Linked DNA regions of Struthio camelus. The protein of the gene in region 1 interacts with the protein of each later gene in a biochemical or structural test. Links are inferred from orthologs where the notes say so. Each region holds a gene or a part of one and is shown in the gene's direction. Other genes may lie near its edges.

Region 1 (9,781 bases):
ATGCCAATTTTTAATGTCTTTGATTCCCCTGAGAAATACTCCACAATCTGTCAAATGCTATTATAACTTTACCGCAGTAGAACTGCATAAATGTAATTACTTCATGATTTAGACACAAATGGAGTTTTCAAAATAAGATGAATATTACGTAGAGATCATTTTCTCTTCTTATATGCGTTTGGTGTTATTTTGGAATTTCTTTCTTAGTTGAGTTTTCTTTCTTAGTTTAATCTACATCACTGTGCTATCCATGAGGGTCAGAACTGATGTGATAAGCTGGTATCTAGATTCCGCAAACAATAAGTTTTTGCATGACTCATTGGATTATTTTGGAAGGATCATTTTGAGTCTGTTCTGATCATAGGGCATAAAGTAAATGAGTAAGGTAATGCAAATATATACACTGACAGGAGTTGGTAACTCATAATATCAAATGGGCTTGGTGATCCTATGTTTGACAAATGATGTGTACTGCAAAAGCCACATTAATACTTCTGCTCAAAAGCTGTTACAGTGTTCAGTGTGTTGTCTTTATGATGCCCAGAGATACTGACTGTCTGGAATGCATTGCATATTATGTGGTATGAGTCCTGAAAGTGCAGAATTGCTTTCTTCTTGAAGATCAATGATCTAATAATGTTTTTCCCCATAGCAGGAATGCATGCAAAGAGAAAAACCATAAATACAAAAAAAAGCAGCTATTTTGTAACATGTAGAAATACCTATTATAAACTAGGAACTGACAATATGAGTGTACGCAATTGCTAGAATTTAGAAAGGTATGTTTAATCCTTGCAGCTACATGTTCCAACGTGCAGAACTGTTTTTGACTAAATACTGTATTTTTCTCCATCTGTATGTATAAGCATAAACACAATCAACATAAAATCCTTCCATTTAGTCCTTCGAGAACTCCACTCTGCCCTATATCATTTGAATGCTCTTTAATACCTCCCCCGAATGGATATTGCAGCACCTTTTAAAAATAGTGTAGGGGCCTTACCTGCAACATGGACGTAGCCAATACCATAGACCAGAGGTGCACAATTTAGAAACAGTCAGGAGAATATAACTCCTCTGGGTAACAATGCCACTTGCACAGTCACACAAGTAGCAGATGTACACAACAGGGGTGGACTGTGTGGAATAACGCTACTTTTGTGTGTGTCAGTGACCTGGGTTGTTTGGGGTATTGTGTCAAGGGGATCATCCAAATAGGAGTACTGCTTTGTCTTAAAATTTCTGCGGGTTAATTTTGTTATTTTTTTGATCAGGCGAAGTCACAAGAGAAGTGCAACTTTGTGGGGCGTTTGATTGTTTGCAATCAAAAGTTTTAATCAGAGATTTTTAAAACACGAGTCCCGAAGAGGTGTATGTGCTGTTACAAAGCGGTCTCCCTGCAGAAATCTGGTTTCAAGCAGTCAAGGCCTGACTGCAGTTCTGCTTCACTGGCTTCGTTGCACTCACTGCTGATGTACTCTGAGGTGGATATTTCAAAACCTTTGGGGGGCACTCAGAACTCCTGTTTAGCAAATACCTTCTGGTTTTATAAAACAATAAACTGAGACCTCAGACAGTGAGGGATGCAGCCTTTGGATCCTCTTCTGCCTCCCTATCAAAGTTTCTGTTTTATCACTGGCCTGTTTGTCCACACCTGAAGTTTTATTCTGCCAGTGATTAATTTCCGTGTATTAGCACAGTCAGGTACTTGAGAAGTACTGAAATTCCGAATGTGATGCTTCAGTGCTGAAAGCAGTGAAAGACTCCAGTATTCAAGTCAGAATACAAGACTGAAACAACAATTGTATGCACTATTTTCTAGTCCACTTTTGGACTTTAGGTGAAGACCCCATCTGACTGTCTTTTACCAGATGATTTAATGCAAAGTGATACAGGAAGAGGACCCTCAGAGGTTCAACTGAAAATACTCCAGGAATATTTCAGTTTTAATAATGATACTAAATCTTTGCAGTGTTTTTGGAACTGATTTGTTTCCAAGGGAGCAACAATCTGCAGTGCTATAAACCTCTTGGATGTTCCAGGTGAGGAAACCTCATTGCCTGGCAGTGTTTATCATTCATTTTTTGCCGGAAAAGACTCTCATCCACTTTACTTTCTCATTCTCCTCAGTTTCTTGTAATGTAATTTCCTGATACCATTGCAGTAATTCGGAGAAAAGTAGTACATACGACACGTTTCTAAGTGTTATTGACATAGCATTAGAAAACAAACAATGTTTGAGGAGTTGATCTTAGAACCGAAAAGAATTCACATGCAGTCCCGTATCATGATACCATCTCCGCCAGGCACCATGCTGCCTGCGACTGCTCTGTCTACGTACATCCTCAATTCTTTTTAGTTTTTGGATAACGAAACTAAGTCAAGTAAGTGGGAAGAAGAACCAGAGGAGAGAAAATTCTTAGGAAATTTGCCTCATCTGGCAAAACAAATCCACAAGGTGAAAAGGACCTGGTGAAAATTTCCAGCTTGGTTCCCAAAAGCTTTTTTGGGTGGTGTCAACCACCCGGCAGTCGAAGGGCGGTCGGGCACTTTCTGAGGCGGCTCCGTGCTGCGCAGGGAAGGGCTGTGGCCGATAGAGGTGGCCTTTTGCGAGGTTCGGGTCCGTTCTCATTATAAGCTCTCGCTCGGAAAGCAGCCTATTCTGCCGGTCCCCAGCGAGCCTCGGGCTCCACGCGGGCAGGGCAGCCCCCCGCGGACACCAGGACAACGCGGCTGCCGCCGAGCTGCGCGGCAGCCTGGCTCTCCGTGGCTCCGCTTATTTCTCTTCCTCTTCCCTGGCGCGGGGCTCCATTAGTCTGGAGGATGTTCTTCGTCAAATGGGCGATGTCATGTCTTTGTCACCGAGTTACCGAGTCAGTCCTCTCAAAAATTGACCCCAGGGTACAGCTACCGTGGTGCATTTGGAGTCCTCCCATTCCTCGCAGTTGCCTCTCCAGCACTGGTGTCACCCTGGAGACTGACGTAGACCAAACTAGCAATTTTGCCTCGAGGTCATCTATTCCTTTTTATTCTTCAATAAAAAGGGGTCCTAAACAAAATAAAAACTGCAATGTGCTAGGCAATTGTGACCTGCTAAGTGAAAGACAAATTTCTGGGACTAGATCACCCTCTGGTAAGAGTACCTGGCTGTTCTGCTGGGCTAACCTGTGAAATACAGCCTCGCCTGTATGCAAGCTCGCACATAAATTCCTGTTAGCTGCGGTGGAGATCGTTCTGCGGTAAACGGAAAGTCCACTTACCCTACCTGTAGAATGTTTTCTTTCTGGGGAGTATGGAGAATTAAGCTCGGCAGGTTACGATTGTGTCGACATTACATTTGTATGTACTAGCATTACCAACCAGTCACATAAACAGGTAGGTTTTGGGGGGTTCTGTGTAAACGAGCATTGCAAAGTTTCTTAGGAAATCTATGTCAGTTCAGATCTTATTCTCACAGCAGGAAACTGTGATAAAAGCGTGACATTAATTTAAAATATTTGTGAACTCATTACAAATCTTAAACAGAGAATGCACTTCTCTCTTTCTAAAAGCATTTCTGGCAGATCTTAGTTAATACTTTCTGACATTTGTTTTCAGTTTGTTATGATGTTTTTTAATAGAAGATTTTTTTTCTCCTGGAAAGTAAAAGAAAATAGGCTTTTTTGTCTCTGAATATATGAGTAAGTGTAGCTGATGATAAAAAATGCAGTGCACAAGCAAATCACCATACTTATAAAGGTTCTCAGTAACTGAGCACTTACTTACCTTGAGACAGGGGCATGATTTTTATGAAGCGCTGCAGCCATTCTTGAAAAATCAGATCTTGCCTAAGACATGCTTTTTTATCTCAGACAAAATCACTGTTTGGAAAATCTAGATCATAGACTTGAACTGAAATGAAAATTAATTTTCGATGTGTGCGTTATCACAATATATTTCACAATGCTATTTTGTTGAGTTAGGTCTTCGGTAAAAACAACACTGAGAATGAAGGTTCATTTGTGTTTCACTTCTGGGATTTCAGTAAATACTTACTGCTCTTAATGAAGTAAGTTGTTACTTTAAATTGCAAGAGTGTTACCGCAATAACTTCATTCTGGAAGTAACTTCATTGAGTTTAGTAAAATTGGTCTCGATGGAGATCATTTTGACTTACCAAATGCATTATTATTTGGTGAGGCAAGGTAGTAAGAGTTGGTTTTAAAGATGCTTCTTTTACAGTTAGGAAACCAAAATAAAAATAATCCAAGAGTAAAATTTAACTTCCAGTCCTCAGAAGCAGTTACCCTGTGATCTCTTAGCCTATATGTTAGATGCTAATTGCCAGTGCTCATTATTTAAAAAGGTTAGTTATGGTTGTGCGTTAGAAAAAGAGAGAACACTAATTTACGGGCTCTTTATATTAGTCTGAAGCATTTGATAATACCAGCTCGGGAGAAATATGTGCATGTTAAATGCTGAGTCTTATGAGTTTCACAGAATTTTGAGGACCATTGGAGTTTACGTTCAGCTAGGTTGCTAGAGGTATACTTAAAAGCCAAGAAGAAAAGGGGCCAACATACAGGTAGTTTTGGCAGTCTGTCATCTCGAGTGTTGTTTAAAATGAGTGAAAGAACAAAATTAAGACCTCATTATTAAATCAGTAATTCTGCTTCCTAATAATAAGAACAGACATTAAAGAGAGATACCATTTTGTTACTGATTTCACAGGAGTTTTACCCTATTTATGCTGTGCTGCAAAGAAAACATATTTTAGCTAGTAAAAGCAAGGCAGCTATTATAATATTAAAAAATCCTTTTAAATAAAAAAGAATGGGCGATCAAATATGATATATTAACCACACTGATGTTTGGAGTGTGTAAAGCAGTTATAAGATCATATAGTATTTTATTTTAATGGCATTGAAATGTACATAGCTCATACGAGAGCCAAACTGAGCAAGAAAACCTCCTGGCTGTGCTCAGGTTGTTGATGCAAAGGATACTTTTTTTAAAAGTTCTTTGTTACTGAAACATAAAAGATCATGAAACAAAATAGCAAAACAATTAGTTTGCTGGTAATATTTAAGCAGTGTCCTTTTTGCTGATTAAATCAAGTCATTTTGAAGTTTCCCACCTGTTGAACTAAATAGAAATTATCTCCCCAAATCACTGAACTTTAAAAAAGCTGCTTTCCGGTAAATGCATTAAGAGGCAGTAGGGAGGATTGTATATGTGTGGAAGGCTGGGGAGATTCATGCATGTAATTCTGTAAAACAAAATCAATAAAGCTGATGACAGATTAAGTTGCTAAATTTTGTAAAACTAGACTACTGTTTGGGTCATCAACACAGTGCTATTGGATTTTCTGTGGTTTAATGCTGAAAAACAGGATTATTGATTTTAGGATTTTCAGCGTATCCCCTCTGGGAGTTCTTAAGCAGTCTTCATAATGCTTCACACTTAAGTTGACAACTACAGTGACATAACTGTGTCCTCGCCTTAATAATCATTTTCTAATCATATTGCAAAAGGCTAGAAACGGTTTATAAAACGATTATTGCGGACAAACAGTGGAACAGGAGGGTTGTCGGGACGCCGCTCCTTTGTCTGGTGGCCATTGCTGCCTGCCTGCCATCTTCCCTTGGAATTAACTTACAGTCACAGATTAAGACCTTTGACTGTCATAAATCTGCTTCCCAATATGTTTGACTGGCAGGGGAGTTCACAAGCCATGCCAATATAAATAGGATTTTAGCACATCAGGTGCTGCTCCAAAGTGAAACGGGCTGTTTTGCAGTCGACTTTGTTGGTGTTGTATATTCATTGCTCCTTTCCCGTTCCATGTGTATGCATGCCTGTGTGTGTGTGCGTGTGTGTGCGAGTGTGTGTGTGTGTGCGCCCGTAAAGTAGGAGCCGAGATAGGGTAACAAAATGAACTACTGTATGCAAGAAATCTATGAAGTGCACCCAGCTGCTGGGAGCAATTGCTACATGCAGTCCACTGATTATTGCACATATATCGAGGATAATCAGGGTTACAGCAGTTGTGATGCTCAGGTCCTGCACGGTAACAACATATATATGGAACAGGCCTGGGCGGTGAATCAGCCTTATACCTGTAGTTACCCTGGAAACGTGTTTAAAAGCGAGTACTCTGACATGGACATGGCCCTGAATCAGTACAACCAACCTGAATATTTCACCGAAGAAAAACCTACTTTTTCTCAAGTGCAGTCGCCATCGTACTCTCAGAAGAAAGGTAGGGGCAATTTATTTAAATACCAAAAAAAATCTGTGTTTTTGTTTTTGTTTTGCTTTAAACTTACAGTTGCATCACTTGGCTCAGATACATCTTTGAATGTGAAGGCTGCCTGTTCAAAATTGAAAGCAGCAGTAACATAGGTTGCTAGGTGATTGTAAGCTTTTCTGTGAACGATGAGGATTTCCAAGCACTTTTTCTTAATTTGTAAAGGACGTTTGCAAATATATTGCTTGTTTTCTGCTTTTTGTGGCTATTAAGTCCATTTACTGAACATCAGTGAGCTAGATAAGAAAGTTTCTCTTCTGAAATGTCGTCAGTAAATATTCTTCAGCTTAAATCTGTTTTCTGCTTCCACACAAACAGTCTGTGTGAGTCCTCATTATCACTAAATGTGAATTCTCTTTACTGAATAACTCAGTTTCAGGCAAAATATGTTGAAAATAGAACTGCAAGTATGTATGGGAAAATGATTACATTTAATAGAGTTGCTGTCTTGTAAATGAAAACCGTGTCGTTTCTGATTATGCAAAGCCAAAAAGATAGGACAGTCGAGAATATAGCTCTGCAGTAAAGACTCTTCTCCATCCAAAAAGTTGATCTAATCAGTATGTTTGTGAGAGATAATCAGAGAGTGGTATCTGTTCCCTTAGGATTAGATCACTGCTTGTTTTCAGAATTTCTTCTTTTGCTTTCAAGTAAGCAAAGCAGGTATCACTTCTCAAAAAAATACTAACCACCACTGGAAAATGTTCTCAGTGTTACTTGTTCTGAAGCCAGACAATCAAACTGGCACATGTAGAGTATGTGTTCTCCATAAAAGTGTATTCCCTTAAAGTCACTTGAATAAAGAACAAAAATACACAGTCTGTTGTACCAATATAATATCCTTTTTCTCTTAAGACCAAATTTCCTGTATGCAGTTACTCAGAAACAAAATGAATCTGATTTAACTAGCTAGACAGAGAACGACACCATTTACTTTTTTTAAAGTGCCTTTGTAGTCAAAAGTAGCCTGTTTAATCATATTAACAACATAGAAAACTGAAATATTTTCCCTTGTGAAGGAAACGCTCATTAGCACCTGGTGCAATAAAACTGTATGTTCAGTAGAAAGTATCTTAATCTTGTACTTTGAGCAGTATTCATAATAAAGGGACTATCAGAAAAATAATCCTGCTCTAGGAAGCTGTAGAGAACATGATCAAATTGTAGACTAAATGTAGTTGTGCATAATGTGCTTTTTTTGTATTTTGTAGCATTCTAAAGTCTTCTTTAGGCTAATTTTATACTATTGGATTTTAATCAATAAATTTATAACTCTTCATAGACTTTTCCCATGTGTCATTTTGGTCAAAAACTGCTACACAGGATTAACTTCAAGAAGATGGAGACTTGCTATTGCGAAGTCAGTGAAGGAATATATATTTCATAATGCGAAAGGATTTTAAATGATAATTGCTGTACTTAGGTCAGAGCTTTAAATGAGTTATTCCAGTATTCAGACATCTGATACATTTAATGCTCTGTTTACAGTTTTTCTACTTGCTTGTTGAAAGAATACAGAGTTATTTTTAAAAATTGTTTGCCTGCTCATGTTTTTCATCTACCTCAGTTTCACTTAAAATTTGCAGAGAATTTTCTTGGGAGCAGTCACTCGAGCACACTTTTAACTGATCATCCACAGAGACTGAGCAAAGTTCCTTCGGCTTCTTTACAGCCGTCATTACTGTGATAATCCATAAAGAGTTGCGTCCCTTCTGTCAAACCTTTGCAAATGCTGACTTTGTTAAGCAGAATAAATCTAAACAGTGTGGGACATGTGCATCTTCTCTTTCTTTTTTTTTCTTTTTAATTTCCATCTTTTACCCAAGCTATCATAAAACTAACGAATCTTTTAATCCCGTCCCAAGAACAGAAGGCTCTATACAGGGCATGTGTGCCTGTATTGATCCAGAATTGATTTGGGGGGGGGGGAAGAGGGAGTTTGTTAGAGAAGCCTTGGTAATAGCCCATTAAAGCAAAATTAAGTCCCTGAGCAGGTGTCCATGAGGAGTCTTGATTGTTGCAGTTGGTATTTCTATTAGTCCCCTGAAACTTGTGATAATCTCAATACCATTCATGCTGTTCAAATCAGATTGTACTTTACCGTAACACAGGGAGGTTCTTCATGTCAAAACTTCTGCTAGTTTTAAAGGGATCAAAATCTTCTTTAGTTTCCCCTCCAGGAAGATAAAAACATTGTTTTATATGCTGAGAAAAGCTAATGTTTACGAAGGGGAGTTTAATTACTTCTGTATCTATATGTCACTTTGAGAGAATTAAGGAAATAATGAGAATGAAAGACTCAGACAACGTGAGTGTTGCTAAAGGGAAAAAAATCAGTACTTAGAAAGTATAGCCAGATGTTCCAAAACTACAAGAAAACACTTAAGCTACTCCAGATATCACTGTACATTTAAAACTATTATTTCCTGATTTTCAGTTACAAATTTTGATGAAAGATTTGAATATTAAGGGAAAAAACTATGCTCCAGAAAAGCAGGCATGGAAGTGTGGTTTTAGTTTGGCATCTTGTTGTTCTGTATGTTCTGTGCTGTACTATACATTATTAACAGGTAGGAGCACAACATTCCTACAAGAGCTTACTATTTTATTAAAGAAATAGCTCTGGACCCTGGTCCTAAAAAAATGACAGCCAGATATACTTTGTCTCTGTATGAGGCTGTCAGATCTAATGGGCAGAACAGGGCTGATGCTCATGAGAAAGAGGGTGCTATTCCCAGGTCTGTCCCAGAGAGCTACAGGAGAAATAGTTGCAGAGGTCCAGAAACCTCAGTATCCCCGCTCTGGGTATGTGCGCGGTGTTGTGGCCCTTTGGACAACAGAGGAAGTAGGTGTGCAAAATTAAAGCTTTGGTTGGAGGTCACTTCCCTTTGTACAGTTGTTTCATGGACGGACTTAACTGTAAAATGCCCACTGATGTCTATGAAATTAGGCTTTACCTTCAGGCTCCATGGAGCCCTAAGTAACTAAAAGCTGCCCCCAGAAGTAAGGGTTCGCAGGTTTCTTGAGTCATGCTACAGCAGTGCAAGATACTCAAACCTATTTATCTCTTTTTCCCGCCCCCCCCCCCAGGTTTAAGGGGAGGCTAAGGCCGTGTTTTTAAGGGCCCTTGGCATGGTAGGTGAGTGAGTGGGGCTTTCAAAGTTATTATTGTTATTATAATTGTAATTATTATAATTGTAATTATTATAATTGTTATTATAATTGTAATTGTCATTATTATTTCTCCTTGTATTTTCTCTGGCAATTTACATGCAGCTAAGAATACATACTGTATAACTGCTAGGGTATGTTAGTGAGTTAGTCCAAACTGAGGTCTCAGCAGTGTGAAAACGTTAGGGTATTTTCTGAACAGCTAAGAAAATACAGCATGGAGGTTATGTCAAAATGTCTCCTTATCAGAGCAGTGAGTGTAAATTGAGCATATAGTCCATTTACAAAGGAGACTGATTATTTGTCATCTTTGGTCTTTGC
Region 2 (9,891 bases), on another chromosome or scaffold:
AGCCTCGTAATAGGCAGGCACGTCACGCAGCAAAGAAGCGTTAGACAGGGACGAAGTATGAGCCTTGTAAAGCCATTCCCAAAATTGAGTCACTCATCTTTCATAGAAAGTAATAAATACCAAAAAAATTAATGGCATGCTTCTGCTTTGAAGAATTTTGCAGAATGTTTGCATGTCTCAGCAGACTGCTAATGAAGTACCCCTTTACTAGCCCCGCGATGGGTGTCTGGTGCCAGCTGATGAGAATATTTGGTCCTCATTTTCCTGGGAAGGAAGAAGTGAAGTGCAGCAGTGGAGAGATGTCTGCATCAGAAAAATCACCAGTGAATTAGAATATGTTCATCACCTTTAATGGTAGTGACAGTCTAGAGTGCATTTTTAGAGTCATAGAGTCAATACAATACAATTTTTATGATGGTTTATTTTTGACATGATATTTCTGGAAAGTCACGCCAATGCCTCTTTTGGAACCAAGGTATATTTTCCATCTAAAAACACACTTCAGTTATGTAATTGTTAGTAGCTGAGCATCTCAAGAAGAAGTAAGGGAGAGACAAGATCATTTGACCTTTGCAGAACAAGTTTTGTTTTTCCAGAGCTTATATTACAATGCACACAGCATAGAAGTCACTCAGAGATCAACCATGGTTTATGTGGCTAGAAAATCATAATAGTATAACTTTATGATAGATACCTTTACACATTGCTCTTCTTTTATTGGTTTGCATTATATTACAATATATCTTACTGTTCTTTGGAACGTGACTCCAGGTTGTAGAATGAGCTATCATTTCTAATGACACAAAATTATTTATTACCCACATGGTGGCTGGATCTTTCATGAGATAGTATGCTACCTGGAACGTGGTTGTAAGTCTACATCTCTGGTAATTGCTGTGGATGATTGATTCAGTCTTACTAAAATAGTCTGTTTGGTTTCTTTTTATTTTGTTTATTAATACTTTATGGCCAGAGTGGCAAAACATAGTGCTTGATGCCCGAGCCTGGACTATTAAATAAGACAGTATTGAGAGCCTTGGGACCTAGCAGAGAATCTATTTAGCTATAGCAATGGACTGGAACACACCACTGCTTAAATTTCTGAACATAGCATACTTTTTGGTAGTCCTTCTTTCATAGAATGAAATCTTAGATGAGTTTTTATCTTCCAAAATGTGAATCAGAAGGGCCTCCGCCCAAAACAGTATATGGAATAATTTCCAGCCTTAAAATGTGGCAAATAAAATAGTATACTTTATTTTCTCAATTTGGAACATTTCTTCACAAGCCCGTTCTTCCTTTCTTTTGCACAAAGAGCATATTCATGTTAGCCTGTTTAACAACAAATGAGTGGAACTGGTCACTTGCAGTCCTTTTTGCTTGGGATTTGCAGTGTGTTTTAAGGAACGCAATTCTATGCATATGGAACAGTGGCTTTCATATGTGGTATTTTCCCATATTGTGGCCATTAGCAACCACTGATAAATTTATCCATACCACTTTAAAAATATGGGAAGCCATAGAGAATATTAAAGTGAATCATGACTTTTTAAGCTTGAAGAGGAGGCTTTAAAAGGAAATTGATTAATCACGGTGTTATAACAACACCCTGAAATAGGTTTTTACTAGGGTGAGCAGTATAAGATAGGGGATTAGTATCAATGCTGGAGCGCAGTAGTCTCCTTAAGTCTGTTCTGGCTCAGTAACAGGTTTGCTACATGTTAATCACTGTAAGATTTCTCAGGCTTATATTCATCTTGTCCCTAACTTGGTGCACGCGCATGCACATACACACTCTACAGACATGTACACATGAAACCCTAACCTGAATTTAATTTGAGCTTTTATTAGTTCACTCTCCTGTGGCAGCAAGATGAAACCTGCTTTAGCTACACAGTAAGGAGAAATGATGTTGAGACGTTTCCCCAGAGTTTCCCACAGTTTCTTCTTTCTACCTAGAGGGAGAAAGTAGTTTGCCACAGTTTGATATGAAAGGGCTGTGAAGAGATTTAGTGTATTGCAGTATGAAGAGCCATGCTATGTGCCTATCAGAAATCTGGGTGCTGCAGCCGGGGGGCCTAGGCAAGCATGGCTTTGCGGCACAGCTTCTGACATTCAAGCTACTCCATCAGCCAAGTAAATCCTGAATCTTCTTGGTATGGAAAACTTGCAATTTATTCATTTTAATATATTTTCTTTCTCTTCTCTTGCTATTTCTCTGTGAAAAAATAGGATGTGAGGAAATGGCAACATAGGAATTAGTCAATCTTTATGTAAAATAGAGTAGAATCAGCAATATACAGAAGCAGAAGCGTTATTAGAGCTGCAGCAGAACAAGAAACATTGCCTGTGAACATAGCGTTCAGGTCTCCAGAACAGGTTAACATAATATGTGGCATTAAACATTTTTAAAGAAATAAAGACTACACGTAATATAAATGTTGCGGCATCTTCGTCAGAATTAGATTTTGCAGAGAGTGTAGTGAGGGAGAAATGTGAAGTCAGAGAGAGATTGTTTCCATTTGCTCTTATGTTCAGTTTTCATGCACTGAATTTTATACACTGAATGAAAAATACGAGTTCTCCAGAATAATCCAGCCTTTCATTTTATTTTGCTGCTGTGTCTAAGCGATGAATCTGATAATTCCTTAAATGGGAAATTTGCCAGCTGAGAGAAACCTAGAGGGCAACAAATGGGCAGTGATGACAGATCGTCTTGAATGCTGAGAATGTTGTTTTGATTCCAGACTGTTTAAAAATATATTTGTCTAGTGGAAGGTAATGTTATACAGACAGATAACACAAGAGATTTCCTAGGTATTACACACACCACCCCACCCCCCCAGACACCCCAGCATGTGTATTTTTTTTCTGTAGGCTTAGACGATATAAATTAAAATGCTAAATCTTTCATTAAAAGAAAAATAAAGACAGGACACAAAGCAGTGAAATCAAAGCAATTCTGCCTTAAGGCTGCAGAGATTTCCTTCTCTTCCCCTGCTGTGTCTAGGTATTGCAAAACATATGGCTCACCTTTAGGGGGAGTCTCCAAACAGTGGGAGATGTTACATGCCGTATGTGCTGCAATAACTGGAGGTGCAGTAACAAGGTGAGCTGAGGACACCAAGATGACTGTATTTCAAACTCGTTGCTGGTTTACTGAGGGTTTTTTTTCACATATGTATATAGCTACAATATCGATGTGCTTTGACTTTTATAAGAGTTTAAGCCCTGGTACTAGTAGGCAGCTAAGTGTTTTGAGGAAGCTTGGAAGTGTGCATCAGGGACTCAGGGATGCTGGGTGTTAGGCATGGCGGGGGGAGGAAGAAAGGAAACCTGAGAAGGAGGACAGGTCTCTCTGCGTGTTTCCCACATGCTGTTCTGGCGGCAGCTGAATTGGCTGAACAGGCTATCGTCCCCCACCGTTCCTTACTGCACCCCTGAGATTTAATCGATCACGTAGGCACTCCCTGACCTGAGTTATTCACTGTAATCTAGGTTCGTTTAAACCCTTTTTAACACCAACTCTCTGAACTCTTTTAATCAGAACCATTCTGATCCAAGCAGTTATTCCACAGATACTGAGGGGCAGCGATGTTCGGCAGCAACGTTAAGGGAAGAGTGATTACGAGAAGCAGGGGAATAAGTTTACACCAGTGAAGATGCAGTCAGAACAAGTAGCATGACTGCAGCCAGAAATTGCAAACTACAGAGGATAAAAACTGCAGGGGAATTTAGCTGCTAGGCTTATTGCTACCTTGATAATAAAATTTAACTTTTGATGCCTGTCCCCCGAAATTTCTAAGCAGAATCTCTCAGCCTCTCAGCCCATGCTTCGTGTCACTCAGTTGAGAATTGTTCACGTAGCTCAGCAGAATGGAGAAGTCAAACGTTTGGTCGTCTTTGCTGCCTTGTAAGTTGAGAAGTAAAGCTGTACTAAAACATTATTTTCCTAAATAATTTCAAAGACTAGAACAAAAAGTGGCTGTAACATGTTGCACCTCACTAAAACACTGAATTGCAAAGCCAAACAAAATCTGTAAACTGAGAAGCAAACGGGCTCTTAATGATCCTTTTTTGTTGCTCATATCATCGGTGTAATTCTTTTTTTACTCCATTGAATGTTTTGCTATCAGGTCCTTCTTCTGTTAACGTACTAGAACGGAACCACTCATTTATAATGAAGACTGAATATTCATAAAACCCAGCTTTAGGCATCAGCATCCATATACATATACTTAAACTGGAATCAAAGTTAAGTGGTGTGAATATCCTTGGCATGTTCCATCATGAAATAGAAAGGTTCTGTTTCACTTAAAACAGCACAGTAAACATAGGTATCTTTCTGTGTAAATAGTTGTTCTCGCTTTTCATATTCTTCTCAATTTGTAGAAAGAGAGTTCAGTTCCCAAGATTAAAAGACTGACATAGCTGCTTCCATTTTGTTTTGAATGCGACAGTAGTCACACTTCTCAGATCCTGGGAAAAATAACATTTTAGTACTAACTAAAAGTAATATCACATACTGACTGCACAAAAGCAGTCTTGAAAGCTGACTGCTCTAAAATTTACATGAAGGTGCAATGTTATGTTAGCACAGTACGTGTAGATAAGACTTTAAGCAGTCTGCGTTGTAATTCAGATTATTGTCCTGATCTATATGGCTTTCAAACATACTTCAATTTCTTACTTTCATATTTGAAAAAACAGACATAATACTTGCTGAACAGAGCTAGAAGAATTTATTATATAAAGTTAGTGTACAGTTATCATTATGATTCTAGAACATACTTTACAAACTTAACTATGTCTGAACATAGCATGAGACGGATTATAAAAAATGTATTGGCTAAATCATTTAGGTAACTAGTTACTGCTAGTACTAGGATCCTGACTATTCTTTATGTGTGTCCTTTCACTAAAGTACAAACTGGAGAGTCATTAAAAATATATGAGCTTTATTAGCCTGAGTATCTCTTATTTTATTTCATCTCTTTTTCCATCTCTTAAAATACATGAGAAAATTAAAACAAAGATGGCTAGGTCGTACTGTTTGTGGTATCAGAATTGCATTAATACAAAGAACGTCACATATATTAACAGATAATACTTTAGTCAAATTCATTAAAAGGATTTATCTCAATCTCACTATGCAAATAAAGTGTTCTCATGTATACTAGTCAAGAGTGGTGAGCGTGGTGTCAGTGCAGAGGTATGTATCCCTGTTTACTCCTATTAGGCATATCTAGTAACAAGATATGAGACAGCTCATATCAACCATCAGATTAATCAGATTAACAAATCAGCTGGACTGAAACCTAGAGAAGTTATTTACTGTACCACGCAGGTGCTAATTTTGAAAGTATTCTGTTTTTTTCTGGAATTTCACTTGTACTGCAGACTCTTACGTTATGTTCAATGTGAACGAAGTGTTCAAATACACTGAAATATTTAAGTTGCTAGCCAACTCGAAGGATTGGGTTCTCTGGACCAAGAAGCTGCCAGACCAGTTCTCTTTACCACAAAGTCTGTGTGATATATGGGGTTTTTTTTGTCTGCGTATTTCAAAATGCTCAGGTTTTTCACAGCCCTATTTACTGCAGATAAACTTTTTACTTAATTTAGTGTACTTGTCTAACCAGTGTTCTCAGGTGAATTTTTGATAGCTACACAGTGTAACCTGTTAGTGTATACCATGCATTTTAATTGAGGGAAGGGTTATAAATCACATAGTTTAAGAGGTAGTAAGAATCATCTCATTTAATATAAATAGTTCTTACTACTATAGCTCTGAAAAAGCTAAAAAGGTAAAATTGAAAGCTAATTTGTAGTATAACAGAAGGTTCCTGTGTCTTCAGTCATAAATCTTAAGCTTTGTTATAGCTGCTTAAGCAGCATGAACTCTGTATGATCAGAAAGAGCATCTCCTGTTTGGTATTTTTAAGATCTGTCGGAATTCAATATGCAAGCTTGTGCTATTCCTTTTCTTATTAAGCGCCTTATTTGCTATGTAAGCAGTACAGCAGACACATATAGTTCTAATACAGAGAGATTAACACTGTAAGATTGTAGGATAATTTAGTGAGGAAGGGACCTCGGAAGACCTCTAATCCACCCTTCTGTCCAAAGCAGGGCCAACTCTGGGGTCTGACTCAGCTCCTCAGGGCCATGTCCAGTCAGGTCATGAAAAACCCCAGGAACGAAGAGGGCACAAAAATCTTCTTGCACAAATATTCAGCATCTACTAATGCTGAAGATAGTTACTGACAATGAAAGGTAAGTTTTCAAATAGACATTACATAGGAACATTCGGTTGGCAGATCAGTGTATTGGGTTGTTTCTGACATACTTTCTGGAAGAGGCATTTATTGGCACTTATAAATGCCCTCTACGTTTTTATAGTATGTAACTTTTTAGCCTGCCATGTCCCTCCGAGTGTACAGTAACTACCGTATATTTGCAGTATGACTTCAGTTACAAGTTTTATTCTTAGATGATTCCTTTTTTCTCCTCAAGCATTTTTTTCAGCCTCTGTTAAGAAAAAAAAAGAATTTAGTGCAAGTCTTTAACTATAAAGCTGCTGTATATTTGTCCCTGGCTTAAAATAAAAGGAAGAGCCTGTTTATGTAATAATTTTGGAGGTACTTTAAAGAGATTGTATTTACCTCAAGAAATAAAGAATCATTTCAAATTAGAAGTAGCGACCAGGAAATTCGACTTCCTTGACAATATTGCAAGCTTCTTCTTAAAGCATCTAAATGAAGGTAGTGTCCCATTCCCTGCCTGGCAAACACAGTATCTCCCTTACTAAGTTGATGACCAGGTTCTGTTTTATTAAAAATGACCCGAAGAAGGTTTTCCAGCACTTTATACTTCAAAATGTTTTTTAGGTTACATCTGTTGTTTAGGCTGTTTAATACCACTGCCTTTTTAAGGAGTCTTTGGAAACAGGAGTGTGAAATACTGTGTTTCATGTGAACGTATGACTGACTAGTTTGGGGGTTCATATGGTTTGGGGCAGACCTTGCTCAGTTCTCTTCTTTTGTAAAATATACTAACTGGAAGAAATGAAGCTCAGAAGAAAGCGGCTAGCTTTGAATGATAGAGAAGTTGGCTGGCTAATGCAAAAGTCACTGTCCCTGGAATTAGTTTTCCAGTTTGAAGACGGAGGGAAGGAGTGGGAGGAGAGTGCACGTGAAATTGAGATTGCTGCTCCTGGGTTCACATGAAGAACTCTCCGGCTCTCCAACAGCTTAGCTTTTAATAACCTGTTAGGTATTTTGCCAGACAGTGGAAACACCTGTGCTTGTATTTTCAGAAATCAAGTCTGGTAATGTCCAAGTAGCTGCTATTCATTCACCCCCTTCTCAGATTGCTGGTCAGCCTATGATTCTGGGAAACGCTAGCTGTCTCTCATCTTTCTGCTTCTTAATTTACAGCTAAATCAGTTTGGTTTTGATCCCTGAATAACTGTGTTTCAGTCATGAGCTCCATTGTTAGATATTTAAGTAGTCACTCTTTGGAACTGAATTTGTACTGATATCCATCTTTTCAGGTTAAAAGATGAGAGAGTGTGTAGATGGATAGAACAAGACAGAATGGGAAGATATGTAAACCTGAACTTTTTACCATGTTTTAGTTGTTTCAGAGTGAAGTGGTGTTTTTTTGCATGTTCTTAGCAGGTTAGCATTTCCTGAGGAATTCAGCTGACGGTAACTGGACTTATGTAAAATTTCTTTCTAGTTTTTGTGTGCTTATCCTAGTGCTTAGCTCTGAATTTAGAATCCATGTTCTCCCTTGGTGAGTGCAACAAAATCCAAAACACAGACAGACTTCTTTCCCGCTCTCCCTGTTGTACTGGAAATTTTCTTTTATGAGCTTTTTCTTTTAAAAAGCTTTTTCTTGTACAAATAAATGAAAAAAAAAATAGAGCATGGGTTAACTTTACCTTGTAGTATTGTTTTTAAGAGAATTCATGAGTGATAACCATCAGCTTTAAAACAAGTAGATTGCTTAGACTCCTATAAAAATACTACAGTAAGTTATTTCTTATTGTATTGCAACATCCAGGGGAAATAACCAAATAAAACAGTGTTAATACTGCAGCTGTTCCTGATGATTCTAAGCCAGAATATGGATTATTGATTGCAGTGAAATGGGCCTAAGAGGAGAGCACCTTTTCAAAACCCCTTTTCTATATCTCTCTGTATGTTACAGGCCGTTACCAGTTTTATCGCATATTATTTCCTGTCCCTTACCTTGGGATAGAAGAAACTTAAGTGTATGACATCCTAGAGATTTTTTTTCATTATTTAAAAGAGTAATAGCATTTTATGAGAATTTAGTATTTTTACAGTGTCTTCATTTCAGCAGTGGGACGCATTTGGGAAGACACCTGCAGTCCCAATGACTTCAGCCCCTGCAGAGGTCTGTTTATTGGAATTTATCTGAAAACAAAAGCCACAGGGAGAAAATGAAAGAATAGCTTACATTACACCACTGGAAACTTCTGCCGGAGAAATAAAATTTTGAACATTTATTTGTAGCTTCATGAGAATTCTTTAGCAGCTTGCAGAATGCATAGTTCTGTGGCAGTGCGCTGTTCAACTGATGCCCATCTCCATATAGCCCAAACCTTTTTTAAAATTTCTTTTGTCATCTATCATTCATAAGGATATACAGGAAATTAATAGTATGCAGAAATTTCTGCTTGAGAGCTAAGTCAGACCATCTGCAGAAGGGATACCCCTAAAACTAGCAATTGGTGCAAACTTTCCAAAATTTTTGGTTGCCTGGAACTCTTTCAATAATTTTTCCAGTGTTTGCACATTTCCTTGTTGTTTTTGGCATCATACAGTTCCCTAGTAGGTACATCTCATACGCATTTTCTGCCTGATAGCTCCAGCATTACACTTCGTGGGCTAATCAAACAAAGAACATTGTTCAGTACTGGGAAGAGATGAATGTGGTGTTTGTTTCTTCTTCTCCCCGCTCTAAATAATGTAGATTTTCCTTTGCAAAAATATACTGGATAAGTAACGAGCCCAAAGTTTGACTTGCGAAATATTGGTAGAATGGGTCCATAGTACCAGTGATTCAGTCGTCTGTCAGCCTGATAAATGGATTAGCGTAAGAGGTGTTCCAGTGGGGAAATGCAGCCCATAGGGCTTCCAGCTAATTATATTTAAGTTGTTTAGTACTGCTGGGAAGCAGCATCCAGGCAATTACTGAAAGCTTTGATGCAGCGTGCACCATTAGAGTGTGTGTTCAGAAACTCATTACCCTTTCGGACTTGTGTTGGATGGATGCTAGGAAGCCGACATGAAACAGAGAGCAGAAATCAATACCTAAGAAGACATTTTAGTTAGCTTCTGATCCATTTCCTGATTCAGCAGCTTCCAGCCTAAAGTATTTGCTACAATTGGTATAATATAAGGGGGAAGTGCAACTTGAGTGTGTTAATTATTGTATATATGCACCTCGTTGTAATAGCGTGTATGCGGAGTGCCACCAGGCCAAAGTTATCAAGGGCCTTTGGGGACGAGCCACTCCCAGATGCGCGCGTGGCCTGAGCGTCCAAGGTGCCTGCCTTATCTGTTTTTGCAGTCATTTCTCTCCAAGCCTGACCTTGCAGTGATTATTTATGCCTCTGCAACATCAAGATTACATTACTGCAGCGTCTGTCATGTCCCACCTTCAGAGTCTTTTGGAAAGTACGGCTAGTCGAAAATGAAGCTGATGCTACTGGCGACACGTATTAAACCCTGTTTAAGAAAGTTGTGCTAGCTCTGTCTTTGCTGCCTGCCGCACTTCATGTTCCCTATGCAGCTCTGTGAATATGTACCCGTTCTGTGTCGCGCATGTGTGGGAAACAGCAACTCCCTTCACGTA
Region 3 (10,212 bases), on another chromosome or scaffold:
GTTTGTATGAAGGTCAGAAGAGATCATACAGTAGGAGAACTCAAAACTTGAAACACTGCCAATGAAGGGCCTCCAGTGGTCAGAACATTTTTAGGTGCAGATTGTCCTCATTGACATGAGCCTACCTTGAGGGAGAAAATACTGTATATGACAATAGCTACTTGACATCTGTAATCCTTTACGCTAATTTGAAGCAGTCAGCCCACCAGGATAGCACAGACTTCCCACCCTGGGGCTCTCAGAACTCCATCTCCCAGAAGTGGAGAGGGAGATAATAATTCCTGTGCATCCACCACCATATCTGTCAGGTTTGTAGCCAACTGCTCATCTTTCTCTTCCTTGCTGCACTCAGGTTAACAAAATCCCAGAGCGATAGTTACAGACTGGCAACAAAAGTAATTAAATCACTAATATTAGAGGAGATATTATTTTGTTCAACTGATTATGCAGTATTTAACTTTGGAAAATCTAAAACTGGTCATGAGTCTACTTATGAAAATGTCACTTTTTTCTGCACAGTATCTTTTCTTTGAAAATACTGTCATTTAAAAATCCATTGGAAGTATAACCTGAATTGCTATACTCAAGTATAGCAAGTATAACCTTGATTGCCTTGATATCAAATACATTCCTCTGTTCTGTTCTGCATTTCTCTGTTCTGTTCTGGCCACATCTGTCCTGAAATATTTCCTGTCCCAGTTGTGGTACACAGAGGCCAGGCTGGATCTGAACATATTTAAGCTACACAGTGTGGATCCAACTGTATAATAAACTCAGCTCAGCTGTGATGTTTTCTGGAGATCTGCCTACAGCTCACATCACTGCAGAGGTGAGTCCACTTGTGCATACAAGGCATCAGGAAGCCAAGGCAGTGGGGTTTGAAGTATCCTGTATAGCTCCTCCCACAGCTTCCTCAGACTGCCAAGTTCAATGGGAGAAAGTCCCCTTTCCTCCCACCACAGTCCTCTACATCACATTATTCCCTTCTTGCCACCAGCAGGCATCTGCCTTTTGGTCTCCTGCTCCATGCATTAGCAGCCAATGAGATAAAGGTCTTTCACTAGCTGCAATATACTGGAGGGTAAAACCCTCTTTTGGTTCCTCTAGCCACCAGCGTCGGACAGAGATGCCTCACCACAGTACTCTCTCATCAGGATTTTCTCACTCAGACCTGTCCTTTCACCTTGATGTCCCTTCAGGTCTGAGTCAGCTGAATATATGCTCTATCCTTCCCTTAGTTTCTTACACTCTTGGCAAAGCTGATTTACACCTCTTTGATAGAATGGGGATTAATTATAATCATGCCGAGTTTGTGTCTATTTGGCCATTTACAACAGCAAGCAGAAGCATAAGAAAAAGCAATCAGGAGAAGCATATTACAAAGTCCAAAATGGATATATGAGACACCAAGCTGCAAATGAAGGAAGAGCTTTTTCACAACCTCCATGTGTGATTAGACACAGGAAGGTTATCTACATAGAGCTTCTTAAGTCCAGATCAGAAAGCTATAGCATCTAGATCACTAGAGCAGAACTTAGTGAAATATATTAATATTGTGCCTCAGAAACTTTCAGTTTTCAGACTGAAAACTCAGTCTGAAAAATAATTGTTCTACTTTTTATTGTTTGCTACAGTGTACAAGATGTGCCCTGCATCAATGTAGATAATATATACAGAAACAAGCAAATAAAAAAAAGTTGAAGGAAAACTTTGCGTTAAGTTTGTAATTACAACAAAGATAGCAGTGTTTTATGGGAAGCATGAGATTTTTTAAGTGATCTAACTCTGTGCAAGAGTTGGTGAAATGTATTAGCCTTTTCAGGAAGATTAGGCTGTTTACAAGGAGGAAGTTAAATGCATCCGGGTTGAGAAGCACCCCTTGCAGGTATGAAGAGAAGCGTGGAAGAAAGGTAATTCTCAGATACTAAAGAAGTCTTTCAGCTTGCAGTTTTATCAGCTTCCTCATGTTTTCAACCTGTCTCAAAAGATATGAGCAGAGTAAGTCAGATTCCCAGGACAACACTATCCCCTTTTGAAGTCAGTGCTCAAGTTACTAATGTTAATCATACATATTTTTGCAGGATCAAGGTCTTTACTTTTTCCCCAAAATATTCTCTTTAGACCTTTGATTATTTTATCAGCCTTAAATAATAGTTGCCATGTCTTTCTTTGCTTTACCACCACTGGCTCATACCTTTCTGATTAAAGCAGTGACTGGCAGGAAGAAAACCAGACATTTCTGCAGTATCACTGTCTTTCGATATTATTTTAGCATTTTTCATATTAATAAAGGTTTGTAGGATAAAGAGCAAATTCCTGGGACGGTTCCATGTCTTGCAAGCTGTTCGGTGTGAGTAAATCTCTGTTGTAAAGCCCTTCTGTGTTATTGTGTCTTTTTAGGAAGTAAACATCTGCCCACATGCAAGAGGACTGCAAGACTGTGGTCCTGTTCATTAATCAGATAAATGGACTTTTAAAAAAATTCACTGTAGTGGCCTTTGCTGTATTTGAATCTTTCAGTTCTCTCTCTGCTTTCTTCCCCATCTCCCCAGTAGTAGACTAAGATATAAGTTCTTGATATTTATAAAGTCTGAAATCTTCATATGAAAGGTACTATCTGTATTCAAACTTTGTTTCCTGCTAATTTTTAGGAAAGGTATTGATTTTTCTTTATAGCTTCATCCAGGAAATACCTTTTACTAATTTCACAGAATCACAGAATCACAGAATGGTTTAGGTTGGAAGGGACCTCTGGAGATCACCTAGTCCAACCTCCCTGCTCAAGCAGGGACCTCTAGAGCATATTGCCCAGGATCGTGTCCAGGCGAGTTTTGAATATCTCCAGGGAAGGAGACTCCACTACCTCTCTGGGCAACCTGTTCCAATGCTCAGTCACCCTCACAGTCAAGAAGTTTTTCCTCAGGTTCAGATGGAACTTCCTCTGTTTCAGTTTGTGCCCGCTGCCTCTTGTCCTGTTGCTGGGCACCACGGAGAAGAGGCTGGCCTCATCCTCTTGACACTCCCCCTTCAGATACTTGTACACGGTTGATGAGATCGCCTCTCAGTCTTGCCTTGTCCAGGCTGAACAGGCCCAGCTCTCGCAGTCTTTCTTCAGAGGAGAGATGCTCCGGTCCCCTCATCATCTTTGTAGCCCTCCGCTGGACTCTCTCCAGTAGCGCCATGTCTCTCTTAATTTACAGAATTGGATACAAAGCCCACAGCCTCCAAAGTTATCACAAGTGAAGTATCAGTCATCTGAATGGTGATGCAAGGGATCTCTCCAAATGTGGAAAGGCTTTATTGAAAGCCCGCATCGTCAAACACATCTGCATACATGTTCCCACTGCCCTTTCACCTTGTGAAGGACGCATCGCTTTCACTTGCAAAAAGTTGCACTGGGCTAAGAGCTACAGTATTTAGGGCTATCTAACAGGAGTCATGCTGTCCACCAGTTTCTCTCGCTAGTGAGAAAAATGGCTTTTAATTTAGGTTTCATGGCTTAACCTGATACGCCAGCGATCTACGTTCATGTGCTGCAATGCAGAACTGTTGGATGTTTCTTTCAGTAGTTAGGGAGGAGGCTTCCCATGCTCCAAGCTCAGAAAGTTTCTCCCCTTGGGAACACCTAGAGAAGAAGCTCTGCATGTGTGGCCAGAGGAAGAGATAGACTCTCTTCAAAGAGAAAGGGAAATAACTTTTTGCCCACTTCTCTGCCGTGATCTCTGCTGAGACTCTCCTTGCCACCTTACCTGTAGGGGGGATTTTTGTCTTCATACATGTTGGGGAGGGATATCTCTGACCCCTTCCCAGTCTGCAGAAAGGAATGTTCTTCCCCACAGCTGTCCAAACAAGGAGGAATCCCTAGAGCTTCAGCAGAGTAGGGTCTAGGCTGGGTCCATGTTAGGAGGGGATTGTCTTGACCCCTAAGTGGAAGAGGCTCGGTCTTCCCCAAGAACATCTGCATGCACAGGCAGTTGCATCTAAACATGAGGAGAAACTTCTTGACTGGGAGGGTGACAGAGCACTGGCCCAGGTTGCCCAGAGAGGTAGTGGAGTCTCCTTCCCTGGAGATATTCAAAACCCGCCTGGACACGATCCTGGGCAATATGCTCTAGATGGCCCTGCTTGAGCAGGGAGGTTGGACTAGATGATCTCCAGAGGTCTCTTCCAACCTCAACCGTTCTGTGATTCTGTGATTCTGTGACTCACCAGTCCGTAAAGGCATGAGGAGGCAAGGGTCTCCCAGAAAGGGACTCTGTGTGAGAGCATCCCGCTCAGTGTGCTAATGTGTGAGAGGGTGTCCCTAGGATGTTTATGCTTGGTAGGTCATTCCCCAGTGTCTCAGTGGAGTGTGGGAATTGGGCTTTTCTCCGGGGATCTTTTAAAGATGAGGCGTCCTCAGAGAAGGAGAGGATGGTCTTTTTCCAAGATGCTCTCTCCAAGGGGTAGGAATCAAGGTCTCCCTAAGGGAGATCAGGGACGGACTCCTGAGGACATTCAGTTGTCTCTCTTTTCAACAAGGCGTACAGCCCTTCACATTCAGTAGAGGGAAAAGTGTCCACAATTTCTCCATGGGGAATCAGGCTTTCCCTTTGGAAGGGCGTGTATACAATACAGGACAGTGAGAGAGGAAACTCCCTGTGTATAGAGAAAGGAAGGGCACAAACCCACCCCACCCTGAGCAGCAGTGTGGAGATGAACACGTGCATGGAGCGGGAGTGTCCCCATCTCTAAATGTGGAACACTCTCCCCTTTGCATGTCTGTGCTGGGGACATGGGGCTGGCAGGCAAGTGAGGGAGGGTACACACAATAAGGTGCTAGGTAAAGGCTGCCCTCCCCCTCTGTGGGGGCCCCACTATGGGGGCTCCACAGCCTCTCAGAGGGGTGAGAGGATGAGTGTCCCCTTTGCAGGGGGCCCAGCATGTCCCCCAGGCTCTCAAGGGGTGAGGGGAAGAGCGACCCCTGCATGGGGGGGGGGGGAGCAACACATCTCCCAGGTTCTTGGGGGTGAGGGGACCAGCATCCCCCTCACAGGGGCCTGGCATGTCCCCAAGGCTCTGGAGGGGGAGAGGATGAGCGTCCCTTTTGTGAGGGCCCAGCATGTCCCCCCAGGCCTCAGAGAGGAGAGGATGAGTGTCCCCTTTGCAGGGGGTCGAGCATATCCCGCCAGCTCCCAAGCGGTGAGGGGAAGAGTGTCCCCCTAGCAGGGGGCCCAGCATATCCCACAGGCTCTCGAGTGTGAGAGGACGAGCGTCCCCCTTCGCAAGAGCCCACCACGTCCCCCAGGCTCTTGCGGGTGAGGAAACCAGCATCCCCCTCGCGGGGGCCCGGCACGTCCCCCAGGCTCTCGGGGCGGAGGGGTGCGCGCCCCCTCGGCCCGCAGGCCCTCGGCAGGCGGACGACGCGCGCCTGCCTCGCGGAGCGCCCCGCCCACTCCCGCCGCGGCGCGGGCGCGCGCACGGCCCGCTCCAACGCACGCGCGCGCTGGCGGCGCGGGGCGGGGCCGGTCACGTGTTCCCGCGCGGAGGCGGTGGCGGAGGCGGAGCCGCGGCCGGCCTGCGGGGTGGGTGTCCCGGGCGCTCGGCAGGGCCGACGGCGACCTCCCGCCCCCTCCCCTCGCTCGGCCGCCCCCCCCCCCCCCCCGGGCCGTTCCTCGCCCGCTGCCGTCGCGGGGCCGCGCGCCCCCGCTCGCCGAGGCGGCCCCCGCCCTCCCGCGCGCGCTCGCGGAGCGGGCACGGCGGCGGCCCCGCGGCCGCCACCAGCGGCACCAGCGGCAGGTGAGGCCGGCGCGGCGCGGCGCGGCGCGGCGCGGCGCGGCGCGGGGGGGGGCTCCCTCAGCCCCCGGCGGGGCCGGGCGGGAGCGCGAGGCCGCGGCCGCGGGGCTGACAGAGGCCGGCGGAGCGGAAGCGGCGCCCCGGCAATGTCAGAGGGCCGGTAGTGGCGGCGGCCCGGGGAGCAGGCCGAGCCCGTCGCGGGGAGGGCGCGGGCCGGCGGTGCGGCGCGGCGCCTGGGCCGGGCCCGGCGGCGGCGGCGGCGGCGGCCTCCCCCGCGCGGCGGGGTCTGCGCCCGGGGCGCCCCGTGGCGTGCGGGCGAGCCCAGCCTGCGGCCGTGCCGGGCGCCTGGGGGGACGCGCAGGCCCCGGCCTCGGGAGGCTCCGGGGTGCCCCAGCGGGGCTGCCCAGCCGGCTCGTCTGGAGAGCAGCGTCCGCGCGGGGAGCGCGGCCCGGGGCCCTGCCCGCCTCCGTGGCGTGCGGGTGCGCGGAGCTGCCTTGCTTCCCCGGTGCTGGCGGGGAGCCCTCGCCGGAGCAGGCTGTGCGCCGGGCCCGCGGTCACGTCCGGACCGCCGTGTCAGCCCGCTGCCGGCGTCCGTGGCCTCCAGCCTCTTAGGTGGACCGGCCACACGTCAGGAGGTGGCTCCTGGAGGTGGGATTCCTTAAAAGTAGCCGTGTTTCTCCCTGCACTTAGATCTCAAAGGCTTCTTCCTGCAGCTGTTGTGCTGCTGTAACCTGTGTAAACCTAAAAGTAATAGTCTGCCTTTGGCTGTGGCCTGTGACTGACTGATCCCTCCAAGGTAAAGGAGGTAACTGGCTGATTCTGCTGTGCTGTGCCAGAGTCTTTTATTTCTTGGAGGAGGAAAGTCTTTCTTGCTAATACTAGAAAGCAGTCAGAGTGCTATCAGGAACTTTATTTTTTTAACTGAGGACATGGTCTTTTATTTTAACTTCCGTGCCCTGAGCTCATGCAGGCACTGACATCATTTGGGGATGTCAGTGAAGATGCACTGACGTTTCTTTGATTGCAAACTTTTGTTTGCATTCTTCCTTATCTCTTTAAAATAGTAATAAAAAAGGTATTTTTATCTTATTCCCGTGGTTTGACTTCTGCATTTTTCTGAATTTCACTTGCTTTTTGGAACATCTCAGAAAACGGAGGGTTCCGATTTCTTCTGATGTCTTCAGGGAACAGGGGAAACGGGAAGTGGCAGCTCTCCTGTCACTCTGCTTGTTCTGGTTTTGAAAGCTGGCTGCAAATTCTAGTTTATGAGCTTTGTCTTTAACACTTCATAACCCCTCACCTTCCAGATGCATGCACGTTTGGGCTTACTACCTTTACTGAACTGTGAATAAGCTAATCTGAATTGTAGTTATAGGAAAGACAGTACCTCTTATATTGATACTTATTTCACAATTACTTTTCATTGCAGCCTTTCTGGCTAGTTCTTTACAGATATAAAACAAAAGTATCTTTCAGTATTTCACATATGAGAAAGCAACCACAAAGAACGTAAATTTTGTATCTTTCAAAAAAGGCCATCAAGACTTATTCTTCTGTAGAACTTGCAGGGAGGAGTTGTTTACAAAAGGCTTCCAACTGATGCTGTTATTTTACACTCTTCTAGCAGAGAAAAGGCTGCATCCTTTTTTTTTTTTTTTTTTTTTTTTAGTGTGGGAAACCTGGGAAAACCAGACATTCATAAACTAAGTATTCGTGTCTTAATTTTTCAGTTGCTTGAATACTTGAAAATATTGGGGTATAGAACTAAATTCTGATAAGCAATCTTAATATTGCTCTTTGGTCTTCTTAAGTACAATACCGTCAGATATTGCATACCCTTGCAGATGTTGAATACTTTAAACTGATAACTGAATTGTTAAACAGCTTTACAGTATATTTTATTATTTTCTAATACTATGTTGATTGCTTTTAGATGATAATTGTAGTCACAGTTAAGTTACATAGACACACTGAATTTATAAGATTTACAATGGCAAAAGATTTGCTACTGAAGATATAAAGGAGTTAAAATGGCTGTAACAGTTTGATTGCATTGGGAATAATGAAGTTGTATATATCGTTAGCATACCTCTGAAAGGCAGAAGGCGTGATGTTGGTGTCTGTTTCAAAATCATGTGGTCCCTATTGAGAAATACAAACCCTGTAGTGTATAGTAAATGGTACTGGTAAACAGTACAGGTCTGTTAATACGTAGACCGCTGAACAACATCACTTAACCTTGAAAATGTCTTGCATTGCACAAATTGTGTTCAAGCATAAACTCGTTTTTGTTGGGCTAGAGAGGAAATTGGGGTAAACAATATGGAGAATGGGAAAAGTTAAGGGGAGGAAATGGAAAGAAAAAATAATTCTAGACAAACACAAACTTGAGGCAGAGAGGATGCATCACCAAATCCAGGTGTGATATTTTCCATCTGTTGGCTAGATTACCAACTTTGCTTTACGAAGAGAATGGTCACCTTGTCTTTTATTTGATGTTTAACTCTACCAGTGTTACCTACTCTTCTGTCACCACCAGAATAGATCACTAGTGTTCTTTTGCAAGAAACTACATATTTTAAATAATTGAACATTTGAGCCACATGATATGTTCCTTAGTTTGTACAAATCGATAGCTGAATGCTAAGGTTTGGTTCTAGATGGTGTGTCAAGCTCATGAAACTCTTAATTGTCTAGTCTCCTGACTAATTAATAGGAGGGAAAAAGTGTAACTGGTCTGAGAACTCTGGTAAGAAAGAAGGTGCTTAGTGGACTCTACAACATTTAAGAACTGTCACCTTTTTGGAACTGAGAGGACTTTTGTCGTCTTCACAAGCTTGAATGAGTAGTCTCAAAGCATAGCCCTATATAGGGGTTTGGGTTGAATTTGTACAAAAATTGAAAAGATAGAAGAATGATGCCTTGTCTAAATGCATTTGTCTTTAAGTAAACTGATAGTTTGGGACAGAAAGTTGCCTGTATTGATTTGCGTGTGGGGGGGTCTGAATTTTAAGTTTGTAGTCTTGGAAAGTGTCTGAAAGGGAATGATCTAGACTACTTCCACTGACAGATGCCTGCTATGTAAGTTCTCTCTTGTTAATACAATTTTAAAGGTACTCTTTCAAAAACTAACTAAATAAATGACATGCCAAGACTGCTGAACTGGTATGAGATTCCATTGCTCATAATGGTGGCTGGGTAGTACTTGCAGAGATTGGATTAAATGTAGGCTTCTGTGTTCTGCATAGGTGTGCGCAGGCACATTCTCCCAAGCTTCCCATCTTGATGAGTGATGCAAGGAAAAAGCGAAGAATTAATTCTGCCTTGTAACTTCCTGATACATTGAAAATTTTAGGTTGTATAATACAGTGGTTTCCAGCCAGTGAGCAGAGAGCACATGGGAGATGAGATACAGGACCCAAAATGGTAATTCTGATGGGTCTCTGTTGACTTTTTCAGAGAAAGTAAGGAGTCAGCAATTGTATTCTCGGGACTACGGCAGTACGTGTTGAACCTCCTGAGGCAAAAGCATTACCGGTCTTCTTGGATAAGGACCATTTAAGAGAAATACTGAACAAAAATAACATCTCATGTTTTGGTTGCTGCATGGGGGTGTGTCCCTTCTAAGGGTTTTTTTGGGATGCCCTTCCCATTCCCACATGAATGAATTCCTATGTAGCTCTGTGCGTAATAGGTTTACCCGAAAGTACCAGGTTGACTATGTGGTTCTTTATAGCAGTAGTGACAATAAAAAAGACTTTTGTAATTTCATCCTGCCAAGAGCGTGGACAGACAGAAAATATACTGCAGGTTTCTTATACAGTCAGGAGGACCTCAGAACAATCTTGATTTTAACAGAAGCAATACATGCATCTTAGTATTCATTTAAGAAGTGTGTTTATTTGTTTATTTGTTTTTTGACTGGGGAAATTTTCTCCTTGACATTAGGTACACTACTCTCAAAGGAATTACTTTTAAGCTGTTTGAGGTCACTTAAAATTTTTCTTCGTACTTTAAAACATTTAGAATTTCATAGACCTTAGTGAAATTTCATAGTCTTTTGTGACATGCCTAAGAAAGAAAATGCAATAAACAAGAGGTAGAGTTTTCAGTCAAACTGAAACTTGAGAACTTGTAATCAAAAGAATACCTGATCTTGTTACATTTGCATTTATGAACTTCAGTGAGGCTTTACTGGTAGAGGAGTACCGGTGCAGTATGACAGCCCAGACTGGTTCAGTTGTGGTTAAATTCAACTTCAGGTAAAAAACTTGTCACAACACACACAATGAATAGATTGCTACTTGAAAATGATTTTTTTATGGCCTTTGGAAAACCAAGATAAAACAGTTTCTTGTCAAGATGCATCTAATCTTAAGTACCTTCTCATTTTACTTGTTCACTGATTGCACTGATGGATCTGAATGAAAAATTATG

What was found.
Region 2: the proteins of THRB (region 1) and TBL1X form a complex in vitro, tested with the Homo sapiens proteins (2 studies listed by BioGRID). The link is inferred for Struthio camelus from reciprocal best matches to the Homo sapiens genes THRB and TBL1X.
Region 3: the proteins of THRB (region 1) and NCOA6 form a complex in vitro, tested with the Homo sapiens proteins (2 studies listed by BioGRID). The link is inferred for Struthio camelus from reciprocal best matches to the Homo sapiens genes THRB and NCOA6.

What each region holds. Positions count from the first base shown.
Region 1 is NC_090943.1:44,271,665-44,281,445, reverse strand, and holds the start of THRB (thyroid hormone receptor beta), read left to right. Parts: upstream 1-5,898; 5' UTR 5,899-5,913; coding exon 5,914-6,241; intron 6,242-9,781.
Region 2 is NC_090942.1:142,898,599-142,908,489, reverse strand, and holds the start of TBL1X (F-box-like/WD repeat-containing protein TBL1X), read left to right. Parts: upstream 1-6,138; 5' UTR 6,139-6,269; coding exon 6,270-6,276; intron 6,277-9,891. UniProt on the Homo sapiens protein: F-box-like protein involved in the recruitment of the ubiquitin/19S proteasome complex to nuclear receptor-regulated transcription units. Plays an essential role in transcription activation mediated by nuclear receptors.
Region 3 is NC_090959.1:622,699-632,910, forward strand, and holds the start of NCOA6 (nuclear receptor coactivator 6), read left to right. Parts: upstream 1-5,679; 5' UTR 5,680-5,778; intron 5,779-10,212. UniProt on the Homo sapiens protein: Nuclear receptor coactivator that directly binds nuclear receptors and stimulates the transcriptional activities in a hormone-dependent fashion. Coactivates expression in an agonist- and AF2-dependent manner.